Linked DNA regions of Lytechinus pictus. The protein of the gene in region 1 interacts with the protein of each later gene in a pairwise test. Links are inferred from orthologs where the notes say so. Each region holds a gene or a part of one and is shown on either strand. Other genes may lie near its edges. The genes, in order: mothers against decapentaplegic homolog 4-like and LIM domain transcription factor LMO4.1-like.

The links.
Region 2: the proteins of mothers against decapentaplegic homolog 4-like (region 1) and LIM domain transcription factor LMO4.1-like interact in binary tests that used the Homo sapiens proteins (3 or more experiments, as listed by UniProt). The link is inferred for Lytechinus pictus from reciprocal best matches to the Homo sapiens genes SMAD4 and LMO4.

The regions. Positions count from the first base shown.
Region 1 is NC_087247.1:25,801,491-25,809,662, reverse strand, and holds the start of mothers against decapentaplegic homolog 4-like, read right to left. Parts: upstream 3,298-8,172; 5' UTR 3,152-3,297; coding exon 2,909-3,151; intron 1-2,908. UniProt on the Homo sapiens protein: In muscle physiology, plays a central role in the balance between atrophy and hypertrophy. When recruited by MSTN, promotes atrophy response via phosphorylated SMAD2/4.
Region 2 is NC_087259.1:10,298,791-10,306,242, reverse strand, and holds the start of LIM domain transcription factor LMO4.1-like, read left to right. Parts: upstream 1-4,060; coding exon 4,061-4,323; intron 4,324-7,452. UniProt on the Homo sapiens protein: Transcription cofactor. Plays a role in establishing motor neuron identity, in concert with MNX1, acting, at least in part, to disrupt LDB1-LHX3 complexes thereby negatively modulating interneuron genes in motor neurons.

The DNA.
Region 1 (8,172 bases):
CCTTCTTTCCTCAAAACTACAATTGACTGACATGTTTCCAAAGAAAGCTGTCTTGTCATAGCCATTTTAATTTTGTGACTGACTTCTGACTAAGAAAACCGAATAGGCAAAATGAGTGAAGGTGCACTGGAATAAGTGTAAAAAAACTCTGAATAACTTTTGAATTCATGAATTTCAAATTGCACTGATGTCTACTCCACTTCCATGTATTTTCTTTAAACAAGGATTAGGCATTTGTCAAGTTCAGATGTTTTCCAGGATAAAGATGCAGATTTCCATAAATTAACTGTCTTATGAACAATACTGAGCAACAAATTCTGAGGACATCTGCTGTAACATTCACAAAATATTGGGAAGAATTTCAGAAAAGAACCCCAAACAGAACAATGTTAAAAGAAGTAGGCATTTTTTAGAGAATGCCATCTTGACTGGTAGCCTGCCCTCTTTGGCAGCTGCACGTCCCTTAAGAGCTTTGAATTTGTTTGAATCAATGATAAAATGTACACTTGTGTATAGCCTTCACTTTAAAACAAAAATACAGCTGTACTATGAGGCTTAACTTCAGTAAAGTCTACCAAAGTTCGAAAAACACACACTGAAGGCAGGTGTTCCCAAACTTTTGGAGGGGAGTGTACATATCCAGAAGGTACAATTCATGTTCTATATCCAAACAACTGTGTTTTGGGGCTTTTGTGCCACGTTTGCGCACCCAGCTTCCAGAGCTCATCTTGCGACATGCAGCGCTCAGCAGGCATGGCAGCATGACTCTACCAGGGTTGCAGGGATTAACTTCGTCGAGATCCGCTATTCATGCATCTCTCCTCAAAATGCATATTTTCAATGTATTTTCATAAAACTGTGGAAATTGAACGATCCATTCTCTTGATATCATTTTAAATTGTTAACTACACTGTGGGATTCATATTGGTACATGTTCTCACATACGTAAGAACGTTTTTAAGCATGCGAAGAGCAAGAGTGCAAATGCTGCACCCTCAAGTCACCCAACTGGTTCGTGGCGTGATGCTATGCCTAATCCTCCGGCTGAGCATCGGCTCTTGGCCCGCTCGCTATCACGCCAGTCTATGCTGTGGCCTGGTACGGGTACGTCGACTGAAATCGAAACTGTTCTCATCATTGTACGAACGTGATACTGAACGAGCGGTGTCACCACTTCCAGTGAACTAGGATTACGTAGCAGTCGCAGAGAAACGAAACCTCGGTAATGTGACAAATAATACATCACTATGGATAATATGCATCGCGCACAATGATGTATTCTACCTCACAAATTCACAATTCTTCTGACAAAGAGAGAAAACAAGTTGAATTCAATCGCATGCAGTGATAACAACTCAACAACATGTTACATGTAATGATCACCGCTGGTGATTTGTTAGCACTATCCACTGCAAGTGACGATACACCTGATGTAAATCATGTAATGGACTAGTAAATGTATTCCATTCAAATTATTGATTTTAAAGTAATCACTATGAGATGGTACAATGTTTTTATTTAAGAATGACTGTTTAATTGCTCTAGAATAAAATAAAAAATGATTTTTTGTTCTGGTAACTTTCTGTATCCTAAAGCTTTTGGTCATGGTGTGTCCTGGATTTCATCAAAGAGGTGGCACAGAAATCTCTTCCCAACTTGAGGAAAGCTAAGCTTTGTCACATCAAAGAGTAGGTTAATTGATTCAGATTTTTCTGACAGGCAGAGAAAAATATTTTCTCAGCCCCCCCACAAAAAAGGGTTCCTGTCTGGCTACCCCCCCCCCCCCCCATCACACCCGGTTAGTCCTAACATTCAAATACAAACATTTGGTGATTGTTGATCTTTTCTTGTTGTATCAATATAATTTTTTGTATGTTTTAAGATTTCCTCTTTGAAACCTTTCAAAAGTACGAACATTAGTATTTATTACTTATTTACCAGAACTATTACCTTGTCAAGAAAAACCTCACATTTTCCAATTATTTTCGTTTTAAATGACCTGGCTGGCAAGGGGGGCAAAAGAGAGTTGGTAAGAAATAGGTTAGTTTGTTGATAGAAAGGGAAACATATTGGCAGTGCAGTGTGTGACATGCACACTCCTGAGAGGAAACCGTCTAATATGCCATATCCAGGTGAGCTCTCTCCGAGACAGGTTTCACTTTCTAATACAACCTGGAAAGGAGAACTGTTCCTTCCTGGGGGGAAATGCAAACCAGTTACCTTTGAAATACCCTCCCTTGATGATAAACATTGAGGTAATAAGAAAACATTTTCACCTCACGCCATCTATAATACAAAGGTTCTCAGAAATAAGAACCATCACGTGCCTGCAATTAGGACAGGGGAAAAAGCACCCCTCTCCTTCCCATTGTTTGTAAGGTTTAACTCAGTTCATACAAAGTTAACATTGCAACACTAATTCCATTCCAAATGACTGTTTGACAACCAGTATGTCAGGCCCCATTCCAAACCTTTCTCCTCGTCACAAAAACTAGAAAAGTGTCCTGAATAATATAGGTTTCCATCAATTTAAAACAATCAACAGGCCCTGCCCAATTGAGGAACATTTTCAATATGGTGTTTTGCTAATTCTTTAAAAAGAAAAATAAATAAATGAAAGAAATATATCAAAATTGTGCTCCCAAAATGTACAAATCTTTATTTTTTCCCATGATCATCAAAACAAGAAAATAAGACACGGGCTTGGTGTAAAGTTAATGATTCTTTAATTAAAAGGAATTAATAAACTTTGTCGAAAGCATATTAGCTTTTGATGGAATTTGAGGTACCATATTTGCCGGTGAATAACACGCACCTCTTCCCCCTTTTTAAAAGTCGGGTGAGTCTTTTACAAAGACAAATCCAACTTTTTCGCTTGTTGCTAGCTAGTAAAATGGAGTTAAATTACCTGTAACCTGCCATCCAATGTCCTTTGTATCGTGACACATTTACTGGGATGTGCACCGTTTGTGGTAATGGCTGTGATAAGGCTGTCCAGCTCATCTCTCTTCTCTTTCAGTTTTTTCACCAAACTTTCAATGGCCCTCTTTGCAAAAGATTCTGATTCTCCTCCCTGCCGATGGCACATGAGGCTGTGTACTATACTAAGACAGGCATCGGCACTCGTTGGGGCCCCCGCCATTGTTCCCATTGGGTACGCCAGCTTGACAGTGGGGTAGATGACACTAATGGTCACCTCGAAACCGGTCTGAAATGTGCCACTTCTGCAACTACAAAATGATATTTGGTGTATTTTCTGCTACACCATGAACTAAGGCATCTGTCCAAGGAGTTCCTGCATATTTGTAAGAAAGAAGGAATAAAAGAAATGGAGCCCAATTAATGATCATGCCCAACAATGTAATGTCCTGTAAACTAGAAGTAAATTTTTCACTTTGAAAACATTGCTTCCAGACCCCGATTGGACCTAAAGTGAAATTGAAAGGTCAATCAATCGAAAGCTTATAAACTGTAAAACACAGCAATGAAGAGTTTATATATTTTCATTACTTCTCCGCTGAGTACCTTTGGGCTTTAAAAAAAAGGGTTTATCGTGTTTATCTGTGACATCATGATGTGTTAAAAGCATTGTGATTCCATGGGTTTGTACACAGAGAAACATGGTAATATTTTTGCTTTTCAGATTACACATTTGATTTCCTGCTAGAATTTTTTGATCACATGGTATATCTTCTTGCAAGCTTGAATTGATTATAAAATCTACAGCTTTGGACTAGTTTTTGCCATATTTCATTTCACACTTTGGCACAGCTTTCAAATTTTATGTGTATTCAGATTATGTATAATAACTTTTCCTGACATAGCAATTTAGGCTAAAAGGGATGGTCCAGGCTGGAGATGTTTATATCTCAATAAATAGAGTAAAATTCACAGAGCAAAATGCTGAAAATTTGATCAAAATTTGATAACGAATAACAAAGTTATTGAATTTTAAAGATTTGCATTATTCCGGTGAAACAGTTTTAGGCATGTCTTCATGAATATTCATTAGGTGGGCTGATGATGTCATATCCCCACTTGTTCTTATGTATTTTATTATAATTGAAATTAGGTTTATTCAAATTTTTTCTACCAAGAACAAAAACAATTGGATTGACAACTGATTATTATTAGTTATTTATTGCCCCAACTTATTTCATCATAATGGAGACACATCATTAATTTACACATGTATGAAAAAATGAAACAATTATGATTTCATGTATTACATAAGAAAAGGAAAGTGGGGATATGACAACGAAATTTAACACAATTTGAATTTCAGCCCAGTTGACACTGTAGTGCATGATATTGGTGACCTAAATTGAGGATATAGAATTGAAATTGATAAAAAATGACATAGAAGCATTTTTTGTGATCTATGAATAAACTTCATATAAATAAGCATAGTCAAAATTTCTTAACTCTTGTGTAGAACCTTGATGAACCTCATGTAGCTCTCAGATGGAACAAAAATAATCAAAATCAATCAACAAATAATTAAGTATTTTTTGTGAGTTTTGAAAATATATTGAATAAATTAGAATATTAATGAGTTTCAAAATTCTGTGTTGAAATTTTGTATCACCACCTAGAGCTATCATATAAAGCAAACAAAATTGAAACTGATCAACAAATGAAGGGGAAAAATCATTTGTGATTTATGAATAAATTTTGCATAAATTAGCATTAATAATTTTCTAGACAAAATTTCAAAATTTTGTGTACAAGTTTGGTGTTCCCCATGCAGCTCTACCAGATGGAAGGAAAATAAAATCAAAATTGGTCAACAAATAAAGAAGAAGCATTTTATATGAATTTTTAAAGTAATGCATAAATGAGCTTAAAAAATTTTCTAGTCAAAAGTTCAAAATTCTGTGTAGAAGTTTGGTGAACCTCATGACGCTCTACCAGATGGAAGAAAAAAATCAAAATCGGTCAACAAATTCAGAAGAAGAAGCATTTCATGTGAATTTTTTAAAATATGCATAAATTAATTTCGCATAAATTAGCATAGAAATTGTTCTACTCAAAATTTCAAAATTTTGTGTAGAATTTTGGTGAACCTCATAAAGCTCTATCAGATGGAAGCAAAAAAATCAAAATCGGTCAACAAATAAAGAAGAAGCATTTTTTGTGAATTTTGAAAAATGATATAAATTAGCATATATTTAATGAGTTTCAAAATTCTGTGAAGAAGTTTTGAATCCCCCAATGTTAAATGCTATCATAAAAAGCAAACAGAATTACAGACTTGAAATGACGAAGAAGAAGCATTTTGAAATTCAGTCAACAAATAAAGAGGCATTTTCTGTGATCTATGAATTTTCGCATGAATTAGCATAAATAATTTTCTACTCAAAATTTCAAAATTCTGTGTAGAAGTTTGGTGAACCTCATGAAGCTCTACCAGTTGGAAGAATAAAAATCAAAATCGGTCAACAAATTCAGAAGAACAAGCATTTTATTATGTGAATTTTTAAAAATATGCATAAATCAATTTTGCATAAATTAGCATAAAAATTGTTCTACTCAAAATTTCAGAATTCTGTCTAGAAATTTGGTGAACCTCATGAAGCTCTACCAGATGGAAGCAAAAAATTCAAAATCAGTCAACAAATAAAGAAGAAGCATTTTTTGTGAATTTTGAAAAATGCGCATAAATTAGCATATTTAATGAGTTTCAAAATTCTGTGTAGAAGTTTTGAATCCCCCACCTAGTGCTATCATATAAAGCAAACAGAATTGAAATCGGACTCGACATGGCGAAGAAGAAGCATTTTGAAATTTATGGATGGACGACGGAAGCCACGGCATAAGCTCAACTTGCCCTTCGGGCCGGATGAGCTAAAAAAATCATATTCATATAGGAATCAGTGATCAATAATAAGAATTAAATACCAACAGAACCTCTATCCTCTCTCGATATGGGGCACGATTCTCAGCTCCACACGCCTACATAGACCTACATGTATGCCTAGACTTTGAAAAGCGTGAGCACGTAATACAGCATGCCAAGATGTCGGATATTGAGGAGTGCCATATTTGGCAGTGTGTCGAATGTCCCGATATACATATGCAAACAATTTGTCGGCGGTCATCCGAACCGTCGTATCAGTCAATTTTGGTCAAAATATCGATTTTTAGATTTTTGCAGAAAATGAAAGTACAAGTACTTTTATAACGATGCACGGTCGTCGTAACACAAACCAATCTTGTCAAATTTTTCTGTGCAACCTGATTTTGACATTATAATTTCAAACTCGTATTGCTCATTAATGCATGAAGTGTTCATCTCAAATTAGGTATCAAATTAAAGAGGAATAATTGGATGATACATGGTTATGTAAGTGAAATAAAAAGGCAAATAATTCATTACACTCATACACTATTTGCCCTTTTTTATTTGCCTTTTTATTTCAATGAAATAAAAAGGCAAATAATTCATTTGCCTTTGAATGAAAAAGACTAGGAAATCCCAGTTTCCTTTTTCTGGGACGCACTGTACATTGTATATCAGTTTATTGACCCCCCCTTTAGAATGAGCTTTGACCTTCAACTGGAGACCTGAAAATTAATTCTTCTTTTTTTCCAATACTTTTATAACGATTATGCAGGTTTATGCAATCGGGATTTTCATACTGTCAATATGAAAACTGAAAATCATAACTTTAAGTTTTTTTAGTTGATATTATATCCCTTACTTAAGATTGTTGTAGAGTGTACACAAGGAGAAAAAGAATAGTTTTACTACGAAAAACGTTTGCCATGAAATAGTTCATTTTCCTTGCATAGTCCATTTTTTCCCTAGGGAATAAGTGAACTATAGGTTTTTTGACCCCCCCCCCCAAACTCGCGATTCGCGAGCTGTGCGGCGCGATGCGAGCAGAGCGCTGCTCAGCCAAACGGTACTCTCCACTGCATGCCACGGGAACTTTCGGCGAGCTGCACTAACCAGGTGCGCTCGCTTAAGAGACGATCCATATGGCAATACTTATTATTTTCTCAACTTCTCAACGATTGTTCTATATCGACTTATTAAAAATCATTTCGCTGTAAAATGGTATGAGTGGAAGGGATGTAAAACAAATATACAATGACCCATTCTCAGAACTTTTTTAATCTTTGGACAAGGTTTATCATACATGTGCAGGAAAGTTATTTCAGCATTTTCTTATTTGTTTATTTCCTTTTATGTTTTCTTCTTAAAGTATACATCCAAAGAAAATTCATGAAAGTGATGATTATAGACAAATTATATATGAATGGAAAGGTCTTGTCTTTTTATACACAAATATGTCACTAAAAAGTCTTATTGATGTCGTGGAAATGCAAGAAATGAAATTATAAGAGACCCTTCTCAGCCCCCCAGCCGCCCCCAGACAGACAATAACGCGATCAAATACAGTCGAGAATAATGACGTCACATGATGATCGACTCACTCAGCCGCTCTCTAGCTCTGTGCAAGCCAGCAGTACACTGATAGCTGATTCACCTTCCTGGTCTTTATTTTTCTTCGAATTTACTGTTTTCTTCATGTATTGTGATATCCGAATTCTGTTTTCGACAACTTCAGACTATAAGGGAACCAGAACTGTGTTATTTTGCCCGGTTTTTATTGAATTGTGAACTGGAAAGATCGATTTTGTCCACTCGACAGTCTTCGTTGTGTTGCTCTACTAACTATTGAAAAACTCCAAGCTGCACGGTCCCATTCACTTGCTCCCGATGCATGTTGCAGGTTACGCTGTTTGATCCAGTCAAAAGTCAAGGTAAGCATGTTTGGAAACTGTACTTGTTCTGACGATGCATTCAGGTCAGATGACAGATACAGATCTGATATAAGTTTAGAATCATGCATTTTGGCGTATACTATTAAAATTAAAAAGTCTTTATTTTAGAAATAATGTTTTTGCACAATTCCAGCAGATTTTTTCTTCAGATTTCTAAAACTGGTCAGGACTCAGGCAGGCGATTAAATTATTTAGGAGCACTGGTATGGACCATGGCTGAAAATCTTTTTATTATACACAGAATTATATCACCATGATGCCGATGTCATGAAGCCAGACAAATTTTCAGCAGTGATTACCCTGATTCCTGGCCAAAATCACTCACACGTATTGCGAGGTTAGTATTAGTATACTAACCTCGCACCACGAACCGCGTTT
Region 2 (7,452 bases), on another chromosome or scaffold:
AGGATAAAACAAAGAGAAAACGGTTTCGAGAAATTCCAAAGACTCGAGTCGATATCGCAGTCCTATGAAGAGTTCGAGTTTGCTCGTTACCCCCAGAAAACGTATTCAGCCCGGCATTTCCAAAATTGATAGAAGGACCTGAAATTACACAAGATAAATCGAACCCGTCACGCCACTTTATTTTTCTCTTGATTAGTTCCCACTTCTTTGTTTCAAGATCGTCTGCATCAAAGCAATCGAGGTATATTGTATCGTGCTCTGAATTTCAAACCCTCTTTGATTCGTTTACCTTTTCATAAAAACAATGAAGGAGGTATACTCTCCCCAAAGGTGTGAGCAGCACGCAACGTGAGTTGGTTTGGCGAGTTTTCCACACACAAAAAATAAGTATAAAAGTAATTAGTTTGACTAAAGATTCGGCCAATTCACGCCTTGCGAAGCTGGTCGAAAAAAAGATATAGGACTATTTCTGTTTTTGTTCATCTGAGCATGATACCTGGAGATATCAGTATTACTGTGAAAGTGTAATCACGATTTTTCCTGGACTGCACAACTTGAAATAGTGTGGCAATTTAAATTCAAGGTGAATGAGCGCTCGTCTTGAAGATATATTGGAATAATATATAGATTGGGGGGGGGGGGGGCATTACGAATTTCCGAATGATTATTGTGTCGGAAATATGAAAAACAAATAGTATATCCGGGTTTTTATTATGCTATATGCGTGATTGCGGCAGTCTACTGATCGATCTCTAGCATCGACACAACGATATTTGGACTGGCAAAAGTTCACATCTTATTAACTGTGGTGAGCAAAAAAAACCCCGATAACACGCAAGAATTAATATGAAGCGCAAATTTCATTCCCAAGTTAATTACATCTTTGTCGGTAATATCATCTTGTTGCTACAGGTAGATAAACCAGTCGACATGGTTCGTGCAGTTATATCTTGCAATTACAACAACAATAACACAAAAGATCCAATATCTATAATGACAGTTTTTGAATATCATATATTCTTTTTCAAACGCGGAAATGATAATTTGTCAGGTCTCAATTTATAGTTCAGCCCGGGTATTTCCCGCAAAAGGGTCCGTTTTGTGTTTGCAACGTTGCAAGCCACTTGCCCCTTTTTTAAGTACTAATTTAGTTTAGAATGTCATGCTCTAGAAGTAAGCATGCTTAAAGCGCACAGGAATGGATTTGGACGGGAGAGAGGAGGAGAGAGATTGATGAGTAGATCCTGACGTAGATTGAACTGGGTAGAGTGCATTACGATTTCATTTAATAAATCAACCAAGCGAATTCATTAGAAGTAATGGAGTTTTGATGCCTGATTAAGGCAAATACAATATTATGACGGCCATAGTCTCTTGTCTACCTCGAAAATCACGCTGTCCTGTCGTGAATGCTTTCAAACTTCAATCCCGATTCCCCCCAATAATATCGAAGTGAATGTATCTCACGCGTACCCCTTCGAAATTAATCTTTCCAAAATATCTCATAAAAATACGATCAATATTTTCATTACATTCAGAATTCTACGCACACTCGAGTCGAGCATTATCTTGCCATTATTGAAGAGGGAGAGAGAGGGGAATGGGGAATGTTCGCCGAACATCCTTTAAACGAAAGGCTTAGATCATGTTGAGATATTAATTTTTGAACGGGAAGGAGAAGCATGCATGTAGTCCTTCATCCAGGTAGCTCATTATCTGAGTAATACCCGAGTGATTGAGAAATAAATTAACTCTAAAGCCCTTACGATGTATGGTGGTCGTAAAAAGCAAAGCTCTTCAAATTACTTTCTGATTTGATATGTGTGCCATGCGAGATCGAACTTGTATCCAATGCTGTTACATTTTCTCATTATGACTGGCTATATGTTTTCATATCAACGTGTCCCGGGCAATTATTTTGATTGAGGTTCAGTTGGTTTATAAACTACAAGTGGGATTACTTGGATGAAATTGGTGTAATAATGAGGGGAGGCTGCATCTTGTCTTGCCAAGACGGTATCTTTGCAAGAGAGAAGGAAAGAAAGAAAGGGGTATCTTAATACAGTGTATTTGAGAATTGCACACAGCGCAAGTATCACTTTAATGTATTGGCTGTCATGCGCGTGTGTCGCAAAAAAATTTCATTAGATTGTCACACAGGTATATGTTTCAAATCTCATTATCTTTGTTTTCTCGGTTTCAGCGCAGCAGCATGACGGGATGATGAAACTAATCTTGCCATCTCTCGCCATCTCTCCCCCGAGCCCGCACTTTAACGTGTTATTAATCAAGCCTTATGAATATTCCAATGAGATGGTGATGAATATTGATAGGATGCGCTGGATTTGTTACTTCGGTCCCCGTCACATCTCGCGCCCTTCAGTGGAAGGAGCAGGAGTTGGCACGTTAAATTGGCTGTCTATCTCACTATCTTACACCGTTGATCCCTCCCAAGGGGTTGTCCAACTGTTACCAATATTCTATCGTATATCACCACCATCAAACAGACCTTTGCCTTATTATATCTTCATAAATATTCGGTTAGTTTCAGCTCACCCGACTTCCTCGATCTTGAATTGACTGTATCACCTAGCAGTGGAATCGCCCCTAGAGGCTAGTTGTAGAATTTCTTTAGTGGTTTCCTTTGAAGCGCATTTGAACTTTGCCAGTCACGTCATACCTGAAGAATAGAAGCTTGTCATCGTTTGAAGCAACGGCACATCGTAAAACATATAGAATTCCATCTAAAACGGAGCAAATCATTCTTGTTTTTGTAAGGATATATTCAATAACATTAGTAACTACTTCATGGTTGTGTTGAATGGGATGAAAAGAGGGTAATATAACATGACCTTTCAGGGAACGAATTACTTGTTCCCCCTGATTCTCGCTTTACCAATCGAAGCGCGTCCTGTGTGTGGATGGCTATAAGCATTTCTTCTCCTTTTACCACTGATTTGTTTCCCCGGCAAGCTACAAAATATTCCATTGAGCAGACTTCTCTAAATGCCCCATTTACCCCGACTCAATTATGAAATTAGACGCCTTTAGAAACTCAGTTGAAAATCGATATCTCTCAGACTGTTGTCTGAAGACAAATAAGCCCGACACAGCAGACATGAGAAATGATAAGCACACATTAGATCTTATATGTCGGTATAATTCAAAAGGAGAGTCATTGGAGCTCCATAATACGATCCGAAAACGCTAAAATGCTTTGGTGAGTTTTATGTTACTTCCTTTTATGCACAAACTGCCTCTATGAAATATGGAATAAACCCATTTCTCACGTGAATAACGTCATATACTAAAAGCATTAGGCGAAATGCATTATTACGTTCTAGCTTTTAGCGCGCGCAGGTAGTATATTTGATTACATTTACTCTTTTCTTTCACAGAGCTGACGTGCCTCTGTACCTTTCATTCGAGTGAAGTCGCATTAGCAGAGTAAAGTGTTCTTTTACAAAGCAAGCAGACCTGAAAATGGAAAAGGTTGCTTTTTCCCACCCACCCCCCCCCCATTTTTTTTTACGCTAGAGGTCAGACACTTGTGCGTGGTATTATCTTTGTATTCGAATCAATGTTGTCCAAACGAGTCGTCAGTGATATAGGAAATATAGTTTCTTTGGTTTTATTGAATGACGTCCGTTTCCGATTGTTTAAACAAAGTGTGAACCATGTTCAAGGAAACGTTTTGAAGGTATCGACAGTGGTGTGAACTGTTGAAAAAGAAAACATCTATCTTGTAATTCGATAAAATCGATTGTCATTGCAAACCACCATTAGTACTACCATGGACCCTATTTTTATTGTTTCTATCTGATATCTTGGAATGAAAATTCAATCGTCCATATTCATTCGCTATGTAACCAACAACTCACATGTTCGTTCACAGATATCCGAAGGGGGGTCTAACCCAAATTGTAGTAAGAAATCGTCCGTAAACTGTTTTTTTTAGATGCAAAAATACATTTTTAAGATATCCCTGCAACCTTTAGCCACCGAATCATCAACTCTTTACATGTTTTATTTATCACTTTTATTCATTGCAGCTAACAATATGGACAGCACCAAAGAAAACAGACCTGCACCAACCACGAACAGCAACAACAACAACAGCAACAACAACAACAACAACAATGCTGTACGATGTTGCGCGGGGTGTGGCGGCAAGATCATCGATCGCATATTGCTGCATGCCGTAGATCGATTCTGGCACACGGGATGTCTAAAGTGCTCTTGCTGCAATGTTCAACTTGGCGAGATCGGACACTCGTGTTTCTCCAAGGCAGGAATGATTCTCTGCAAGAAAGATTACCTCAGGTTAGTGAGTACCTTTCACGTCAGGTTATCGATAAGATGGAGGCGACACGGGTGACGGATGGCTCGGGAGTTTCGAGTGGGTGGGTCATTTTGGGGCTGGGTAAGACTTAGAGTTGGGTATTTTTCTAGAAGATTGATTTTAAAACGTTGGCAGTCGGTCGCATTTCTGATGCGATGTTTTATGCGCTCTACGCGCATCGGGTAAAGTCTTGAAAAGTAAAATTAGTATACGCGCATGGTTACTCATGGCCGACCATTTCCATTTCTCATTCCTTGATTTTTTTTCCGAGATCACATTCAATTTGTGGACTCAAACGAGTCGAATCAATTCTTGACTCTTAAAAATAGAATTTCGTTAAAATCTAACCCCCCCCCAAAAAAAAAAAAAATAGTAAACAGTGAAAACGGAAGAGTTATGATGAATGAATAATAACAAAACAACCACAACAAATTATATAGAGTAGTAGTGAAGATCTGGAAATGTTATTGTGGACGCAATAATACTGGACTGCAGGGATTTGTCTAAGACTAAGATTTAAGTACTGACCTCTGAAACACCTGTACTAGGATTTCATTTGTATAGATTGTGCCGTTGAGTGCTGCAGGGAGATAAAGGGTATTGTCTGTCTATTTGTGAGTCATTACCAAGTTCCTCCTTTGGAATCGCAAACGTTCTTAGCAGAAAATAAGTACTTAGTGTTCAGGTCAGGCTGCATTTTCGTTCTCTGGAGTCGGGAACGGTGCCCTGGCATCACAATCCATCTCGGTGGCTTCACCTTGTTGTGATATGCCAAGATTATTATGGAGTCGTGTCAGAACCTCTTGACGAACGGGAGCCAGTGGAGGCATTATCCCTCTTCAGACTGAATGGTTTCACTTCCTGTCCTGGCCCGAGCATCCATCGAATCTCGTCTCTGCCTCGCCTTCTCCTTTTCTTCTCCCGTCATCTTCAGGAGCGAATCAAACTCTCATCCCGTGATTAGTCTTTGCATCGTGACCCCATTCATGAGAGGGATCGCATCAATGATCATTCATCATCTCCCCCCCCCCCCCTCCACATCACAGTCGTGACAGTGGCAATACATTAGGTATTTTATTGCAATTGTTATTATCACGCAATGAATGCATTCCGCATAATTATAGTCTAGTCTTGTAGACGCGTGTGGTTTGGGTTTAGTAGCACGACTAGTACTGTTCATATTGTATTTTTTGATCGATTGATTGATTGATTGGCAATATATGGCTTCTTATTCACATCAAGTATAAAGGCATAATATGGTAAGGCGATAATTGATATACTACTGTATAAAGAGGCAACAGATGAACACAAAGGACAATTTAAAAGATTTAAAATGACGAATAATAGCGGTTATTGGATGTGAGGACCAGCAAAGACAAAAAACCAATCAAGGCTATTCACCTTAGTGAATTTGAAATGAATCTACATACACAAAATAGTGTAAACCCGTGAATAGAAAAATATTCAGGCAAAAAAAGGCCTATTGAATAAACGATTTATTAATAAGAAACGACTTAAATTGGTTGGCAAGTTTCTGTTCGGATTTAAAAATATTCCTTATCAAATGTCATCTGTAATCGATACGATATGAAGGAAATCATAGAAAGTTGTCGCCATTCAATTGAGGTAACTTTAAGCACATTTATACTGGTAGGTATATATTTCATGGCAGTTTTTTTTAACATCTTCAAAGTGAGACATGACGAATAGACGAATTCGGCATTCAATAATGAAAGATAAAAATACAATGCTTTTATATTTGGGGCTCACAAAAATATTCGTTAATTGAATTCTTTGAGGAATGTATTATTCAGAATATATTTAAAGCCAACATTAATGTATACTGTAACGCTGAAAATGAAGAAGTAGCACAAGGGTTAACTAGTAGAGAGCTGCATATTCCATTGTTTTGATGCAACCTTGTTTTGAGTGTGTGCGTGAGGTTGGCATATCTAACATTATCTCCGGATATTATAGGATATTATTAGTATTGACGCCTATGTCCGATTCTAACCAACGATATCAGTGGGCAGACATACGAAAGTTCACGGCATCCAATGTCCAAGGATCCCCTTTAATTTCCGAAATTTGAGGAAGAAGAGATAAATGGTTGATTGTTCGAGTAGTGATCCCTGCAGACAGGTTAAACGACAAGCTATTACTTACTTTGTCCGAATCCGTGAATGAAAGTCTGTTTATGGGGATTGTATACGCAGGCATTTTCAATAACCATAACTCGAGAAGTATTAGAGATTTAGGGGATATGCCATTGCTAAAACTCAGCAGAAATCGGGGAATGAATGGTTTATTCATGGATATTTGAGGCATTCATTTTGATGGTAAATGTTCATTCATCATATTTAAAGCAATTTAAGGGGATTGCTTTGCCTCGAAATGGATCTAGTGTTTGAATGTGGGTGTGGGTGCTGTTATAATGGAGACCTTTTTGGGCGGGAAAAGAAAAGAGTGTCGGGTGCATCCAATAGCAGGGCAGATGGCAAGTGCGTAAAGAGACAAGACGGTATCTCCGAATGTATGACTTGTCTGTGAAATGTCTTACCCTTAATCTAATGCACTCTTTAATCAATCAAGTTACAGTGGATCCTGTTGGGGGACTAATTAATTAAGTCGCTTCTCCTCTGATCAGCCTCTAAGACGTCCATACGTTCTTCTCCCAAGAAGCGTCGGGAAGATCAAATGAAACATCTTCTTGGCATGTTGGAATTAGCGGTGCTGGTGGTAGGGCTCGTTCATGTATCCATAATGCACAGATGTAGAATTCGTAAAGGAACGCGATGTGTTTCTGTCCCAACATTTTGAGCGGTTTTCAAGCGTGGATGACATGGCAGTCTTGCAAAGTTGATCATCTTTAACTAAAGTATCTCCCTGTGATAGCACCGTGCTGTTAAAGTCGTTTGCTCTGAGTCTAAAGGACGTGAAAACATTTACACGTCATGGCAATTTGGCTTCCAATCATGTTATCGTTGACTGTTAGAAATAAAGCTGCCCTAGAAAGATCCATATTCCCTTATGTCTCTTTAGCAATGATTCGATAAAGAATAATTCGATTGGTACACACAAAATTGAATCAGTTGCTTAATGTGAATGGT